Oreochromis niloticus: one gene and its partner. The protein of the gene in region 2 binds, or shares a complex with, the protein of the main gene of each other region. Links are inferred from orthologs where the notes say so. Each region holds a gene or a part of one and is shown on either strand. Other genes may lie near its edges.

Region 1 (3,472 bases), on a different chromosome or scaffold from region 2:
CTGCCAGTCTTTGACTACTTTGATTTCACTTTGACTGTTTTTCCTTGCCTTGCTCTCATTCTTTTCAGCACAACCTCACGTTTCATTTTATAGTTATTTTTTCATTTGGACATAAAGTATAAATACAATTGACCTAAAAAGTAAATAAATAAAACCCAAGTGGGAAGAGTTGGACTTTTTCTATGAAAACATATTTAATGAATCATTTTCATAACTGGAACGCAAATATAAATTATAAACTGGTAAACTCAGTATGAACAGGAGCTTTTTTTTTTTGGCAAATATTTTTATTAATAAAAAGAAAACAACACAGTACTTGCACTTACCGAAATACAATTAACCTTTCTTCATTTTCCTAACTAAATATACTTATATATGAAAAAAACTGAACCGGAGCTTTAAGCTTTGAGGTAATCAGGTCACTGCACAGCAGGTTTGTGATGTAGATGAAGAAAAAGCTGTTTTTGTAAGGGTGATAATGATCAGAGTATTTCTTCTCTCTATTATTGTTTGCAAACAAATAATTTGTGCTAAGTTCTGTCTAATGATCTGTTAAAACAAACACAGGAAAATGTTGACCAGCACTTTAAACTTCAATCAGCTGCAAGCAGCCACCGCCTGAGCTACAGGTATGTCACACACACTCATCAGGATATGGCATCACAGGCTTTATTTAAAAAAAACAGAAGACAAACAGAGGACAGGTAACTGGAAGTGACATCACGATGGGGCGGGGTCACTCTATGCCTTCCTGTTTGTCTTTGATGGCGACTCTGAAGCGTTCCTCCAGCAGTGACAGCTCGCTGATCAGGTCAGTGATAGCGTTCGTGAACGCTTCCTGTCAGGAACAACATCATTTCCTGTCATTTAATTTCACTTCCTGTAACTAAGAGCTGTAATCAGAAGTGTGTTCCAGGAAACAGGTTTAGTTTAACCCTGAGATGAGGGAAACTTGGGTTTTCTGTTCCAGAAGGTCAGTTACCATGGTAACACTCTTATTATAATCAATCACTCTGATGGATAAATGGATCTTATTTGAGTGACGTTCAGGCTGAGATGGCTTTAAAACTAAAGCTGAACTAAATGTGTTTAAAGTCACTGCAGACAGTCTGATTGTAATCTGATTACATTTCACATTGAAATGTAATCAGATTGAGGTTCGGTCATTTAAAGTCAAACAGCCTGGGCAGATTTTCCACTGAACATCACCTGAATCAGCCTCTGCGGGTCGACCCAGAACCAGATCAGCCAGAACATGGGCTCCATGACGGATCAGCAAACCGAGTCCACTTGCACGGCAGGACGGATCCAAAATGGATTTTCGATCACGGATTCAGATCGGCTCAATCCCAGATCCAGGTCTGCTCGGTCATTTCCCAGCTGATCCCGTCTGGATCCGTTTGCAGCTCTGCTCTGATCTCTATTCCTGATTTAAAATGTGTCATTCTTCCAAAACTATCCTGAAATATCCTGATCCTGTAGAAGCTGAGACGTCTGTAATAGGTACGCATGCACATAACTCAGTGGGAACACACTCAGAGCTGAATGAACTAACTGATCACCCTTCTGGAACAGGAAACTCAGAGTCTGATGAACATACTTCCTGGAATATCCCACAGGTGTGTGCGTGTTACCTGTGGGCTGTAGTCAGGTGTGGTCTGCACTCTGATGACGATCTTGTGCTCCAGAGGATGAGGAACTTTATAACCAGCAAACAGAACCTGAGGGTCCTTCAGCAGCTGACTGACCACACACACACACAGAGAAAGTCATTTGATTGGTGGACAGACTGTAAGGATGAGCAGTTTAGTGTGAATGGTGTGTGTGCAGCTCACATGACAGTCTGACGGAAGAATATTTGAGGATCAGTTCATTAACTTTGCTGATTTTATGATCAGGCACTGGGACAGCCACCTGTGGTGGCTTACACTAAGACCTGTTTCCCATCAGCAGCATGTCATGATTTATTAAAAAACAAAAAGCAAGTAGAGATCAAATATTCCAAGACTATGTTCTGGTTTTCTGTAAAACACCTCCTACGCTACCTGTAAGATTGAAACACCTGCAGGCTGCGTGTTAGCATCTATCTCTGAGCCGCTGCTCAGCATTTGTGTGGCTGTTAGCCTCAACTTAGCCAGCTGTGAAGCCGGGTCTGGGACCCTTACGCTCGGATGACTTTAGCGGGCTGTTGTTAGCCTGAGGTTAGCCTGTTGTTAGCCTGGATGTAGCGGTGTGATGCCTTTGCGGCCGTGTCTCGGGGCCTTACGCTCGGATGATGTTGCCCAGCGTGTGGTCCTCCTTGTTCAGGGTGAACAGGCAGGCGTTCGGGACTTTGGTGTCCTTGCTGATGCTGATCTTTTTCTCCCCTTCGAACAGCAGGAACGACTCGAAAGCGGGAGGCGCGTTCATCTTACCTGTTCACTGCTGCTGCGGCTGCTTCTTCTTCTTCTTCTTCTGTATAGGGTTTATTGGCGGTTGGCAAACAACTGAATGGTGCATTACCGCCTCCAACTGGTGTGGAGTGGGGACTGGAACGTCGCTCAAAAAACCCCCCAAACCCCTCAAATGCTCCCAAGCAATTTACTCTCTTTTAAAAACTGGGATAAGGCCTGATAACTTTCACTTCTCGAGTCCTTTTGCAGAAAATCAATAAGAACTAGTTTCATTTTCATATTGCTGAGGTTTTGGGTCAGTTGTCTTCTCTCCACCTGATACTTCTGACAGTCTAATATAACATGTTCTATCGTTTCCTCTTCTCCACAGTCGTCACAATTCCCTGTATTATGTTTCCCTATCATGACTAGTGTAGTGTTCAAACCAGTATGTTCTAATCTTATTCTCGATATGGCCACCTCCTCTTTCCTACTCCTTTCTGTGCTCCTCATTTCTCCTACCCTCCTTTGGATTTTATCCAACCACCGTCCCCTCTTTTCCTCCTCCCACTGTTTTTGCCATCTTTTTTTTGTTTCTTGCCTTACCATACTCTTTACCTCTGTCTGACAGAAGCTAATACCCAGGTCAACTACCCCATGTTTTGTGGCTTCCTTTGCAGCTCTATCTGCCATTTCATTTGCTCTGACTTCACAGTGAGCTGGAATCCATAAAAACACACCTGTAAGTCTCGTCATGTGTATTCTGTGAAGTGTTGCTGAATCTCTGCTAGGACATGTGCTCTGCTTTCTGAGCAGCTACTCTGTAAACTGACCAATGACGAGCCTGAGTCTGAACAAATAACTGCTTTTAACGGTTTCATGTCTTCTGCCCATTGAACAGCTAACAGTATTCAAGAGCAGCCTGTGAGGTCCTGCACACTGTAACCAGCAGACTCCAAACACAGCACCCTCAGGCCCTTTTCCTGATCTGTGGGGACTTTAATCACATCTCCCTGTCCTCCACTCTCCCCACCTTCATCCAGTATGTTACCTGCCATACCAGAGACAATAAAACATTGGACTTATTGTATGCCAACACC
Region 2 (3,754 bases):
CTCCTGGATTGTTTTCCTCTTTTAAATTAATCCCTGAAAAACTAAAAGGCCACAGAATGTGTTTAAGCACAGCAGATGCCAAGATGTTTATCGCTACTGTTGTTATGTTTTGGGTAACATTTTCTCCATACTGAATTAAAGAATCGCGATCAGAATATTTCATTACCCCAGGTGGAAATGGTTTTGTTACAGACATTCACTTAAAGTGTTATATTAAATTAAAGTTAAATACTCCAAAGTTAAAACAATGAATCATACAGTATAGACAAGATATTACAAGTGTAAATAATACAGGTGTCATAAGGAGGTGCCCTAAAGTTTGATGGTCACAGGTAGGAATGACTTCCTGTGGTGTTCTGTGGTGCGTTATGGTTGAACCTGTTCCTGTGATTCCCCACGACAAGATGAAGATGGTACAAAGTCCAGTCTAATATTCACTGTAACTCAGAAAGGATCCTCCTTTCTAAAGCGTCTGTCACAGAGTCAGTTCTGGACCCACAATATCACTGGCCTTTTAAATCGGTTTATCGAGTCTGTTGTTATCTGCACCCCAGCACGCCACAGCACAGAGGATGGCACCGGCAATGAGGGGATCATAAAACATCCTCTGTAGCTTGTTTGTTTTGACATATATGTAATGCCATTAAAAGGTAGGCAGCGCTTTTCTTTCAGTTTGATGCTGTTTTTCTTACTAATTACTTGAGTCATTCACACTGAATAACGTATAAAGGCAGTATCTTAAGTATGAGAAGCAGGAGTTTAAAACAACCACTAAGTGGCGATGCTGAGCCAATAATCTCGTCCCAAAATAACAAGAAGTCCAATGATTTAAAATAAATAAATAAATAAATTACACAAAACACACTCAAAAACAAAGTAAAGTAATCATATCCTGTTTTGCTTTTTATTTTTTAATCAGAACTGAAGAACAGAAGAAGTAAAATAAAAGACTTTAATTTGTCTATGTAAAACAAAAAACTTATTTGTGACACATAAATTTAGATTTGGTGTATATTAGGCGATAGCATATTGGTTATATGAACCCAATTTACAAATAGACTAGCAGTTTTATATGAAAGTTTATTTAACTCCCATTTTTAATGAACTATCATGCAGTGGGATCTGTGAGCTAGAAATAATTATGTTGATATATATTTTTATGGCTTGTCCTGTTTAGCGTTTCAGTAGTTAATAAGAATATTGATGTGACAGTTAGTATAAATCCTGAGTAGTACTATAGTAAAATAGCATAAAGGTGAGACCAAACGTTTGCACAAACAAAAATTACTGCGTGATCTTTTTTCTTTTATATTTTTTCTTTTATAGTTTATTAAAAATGTGTAAATTGATGTGATTTTGTGGTGGATTAAAAAAGCCATTTAATAGAAGTTATATTTCGAAAATTTTTGTCATCAGTATTTTCTAATCGTGCTTTTATTCATCATAAATCATCGTTTTGTTGTACGTATGTAATGACGTCATGCAGGCTTCGCAGTCAATACCGGAAAAATCGAACTAGAAACGGAAGTGCAGCATGAGGAAAATTGTGTGTGAAGTTTACTTGTGTTGTCTCTGAAGGAACGACAAAAAAAACAGTGATTCGGTGGAGGGCGCATTCTGTTTTACATCTACAGCATATAGTTAGTCCTCTTGGACTAACCCTCTTCTTTCTCTGAGTGAGAACAGGAACAAAGTGTCAGGTAAAGTTGAATTAATCGGGATGCTAACGCTAGGTTAACTACCAAGCTTCTGGTACAGTGTTTCGCCACGTTTGTTTATGTATCTTGGTTTCCCCATAATACTCAGTAACGTTCGCTTCTGAACATAACCTTAGTTGTAGTTACTATGGAATTTACATGATCACAAAGTCAACTTAAACCCGTCTGTAATCGGATTTGAAAATAAACTAGCTATTGTTAGCTAGCTTTATATTTATGGTTCTGGGGCCAGTGACTGTTTTCCCTCTAACGCCATTTAATTCTGTATTTGGCTGTCTGACTTTTCAGCTTAGTTTTTCTTAATATATCAGTTATTTTGTTGGTATCAGGAAAAACCCGTTTCGTAATGGCTTATTACAAAAAGATAAAGCAGGTGACAGCTCTTAAGTCCCTGAAGCTAAAGGCCATCAAAGGTTCTTGCTACTTACACGTATACTTACATATATTAAGAATGTGATTCCTTGAATCCATCAAAATGAGCTTTGTTGCTTTGCCTTTTGTTAAATGAATCTTCATTTTTTACATCTTTCAAACAGGATGGATCCTGCTCTACTGAGAGAAAGGGAGCTTTTTAAGAAAAGGGCACTTTCCACCCCAACTGTAGAGAAGAGACAGGCTGCGTCAGACTCTGGATCACACAAAAAGAAGAAACCCAAAGTTGACAAGGAGAGCTCCTCTAGTTCCAAACTCAGTAGCGGTAGGTGAAGAATATTTTCTTGAAAAGGATGATGTTTAGTGCTGTAAACCACTTATTCTTGTTTATTAGTGTTTTAATGTCTCTTAATGTCAGTGCGCCCCAGGGTGGCTGTGGCTACAATGTAGCTTGCCATCACCAGTGCGTGAATGTGTGTGTGAATGGGTGGATGACTGGATGTGTAAAGCACTTTGGGGTCCTTAGGGACTAGTAAAAAGTGCTATACAAATACAGGCCATTTACTATTTAATGTCTCTATAGGTTCACATCACCACTAGCCTTTTCAGCTAGTGATGCTGAAAAGGCTAGCATCTGTAGATATATGTTGGCAAGTAGGAGATGCATCGACTGACTGGCCAGGGACTGGATTCTGCAGATTTCCAGTGCTTAGCCCCGGCCAGTGACTGGCCAGTCAGTCTCCCATATAACGGATTGTATAGCGGTGTAGGCAAATATTCACATGCACTCTCACAGCCTGACATGGTGTTAGTGTGGAAGCTTCTCATTGTGAGTGAAGAGACAAAGTTCACCAAAGTACACTGTAGGGCAGGGGTGGGCAACTCCAGGCCTCGAGGGCCGGTGTCCCTGCAGGTTTTAGATGTGTCCTTGAACCAACACAGCTGATTTAAATGGCTAAATTAGCTCCTCAACATGTCCTGAAGTTCTCCAGAGGCCTGGTAACGAACTCATCATGTGATTCAGGTGTGTTGACCTACGGTGAGATCTAAAAACTGCAGGACACCGGCCCTCGGGGCCTGGAATTGCCCACCCCTGCTGTAGGGGTACCAGCGAGAAAACCTTCATAAACAAGAAATCTAATTAGACATTTAAATATGAAAAGGGAATGTGGCTAACGCTAAAGTTTCACAAAGCTCAGAGCCAGACACAAATGAGCATCCTCAGTATGGCTTAAAGCAACTATGAGGGAAAATTATGGAGACGAGTGAATAAAAAAAAAAACTAAAAACGTTTTCTATTGATTATTTGAAGATCACCTTATTTTCTGTTGTTTCAGAAAATCCTGTAACTTAATACAGTTTGGGGAAAGAAACATTAATAATTTCTTTAATGGAAAACATATTTTTAAATGAAGAAAAGTAGATTTTTGTTTATCTGTGCCATTAATCACAGTTCTTAGAAAATCAGAATCTATTCGCAGCATAAGAGGCTTATTCTGTACAATATGATTGCTCATATTTGGACACCAAAACAATTTTCATAAAGACTTGATAGTAAATTGAGAATCCATGTGGTTAAAGTTGTGCATGTCAGTTTACTGTGATTCAACAAGATAACCAAGACACTGGAATAATACACTCTCCTGGTTGTTATTTCTAATAAG

The links. Proteins that work in one complex are often made in the same cells at the same time.
Region 1: gtf2e2 (region 2) and polr2j share a complex: the UniProt entries of both Homo sapiens proteins name them as parts of the TBP-based Pol II pre-initiation complex. The link is inferred for Oreochromis niloticus from reciprocal best matches to the Homo sapiens genes GTF2E2 and POLR2J.

What each region holds. Positions count from the first base shown.
Region 1 is NC_031970.2:1,176,763-1,180,234, reverse strand, and holds polr2j (DNA-directed RNA polymerase II subunit RPB11-a), read right to left. Parts: upstream 2,466-3,472; 5' UTR 2,410-2,465; coding exon 2,267-2,409; intron 1,744-2,266; coding exon 1,635-1,743; intron 839-1,634; coding exon 737-838; 3' UTR 654-736; downstream 1-653. UniProt on the Homo sapiens protein: Core component of RNA polymerase II (Pol II), a DNA-dependent RNA polymerase which synthesizes mRNA precursors and many functional non-coding RNAs using the four ribonucleoside triphosphates as substrates.
Region 2 is NC_031971.2:23,287,235-23,290,988, reverse strand, and holds the start of gtf2e2 (transcription initiation factor IIE subunit beta), read left to right. Parts: upstream 1-1,500; 5' UTR 1,501-1,700; intron 1,701-1,966; exon of another isoform or gene 1,967-2,131; intron 2,132-2,254; 5' UTR 2,255-2,255; coding exon 2,256-2,415; intron 2,416-3,754. UniProt on the Homo sapiens protein: Recruits TFIIH to the initiation complex and stimulates the RNA polymerase II C-terminal domain kinase and DNA-dependent ATPase activities of TFIIH. Both TFIIH and TFIIE are required for promoter clearance by RNA polymerase.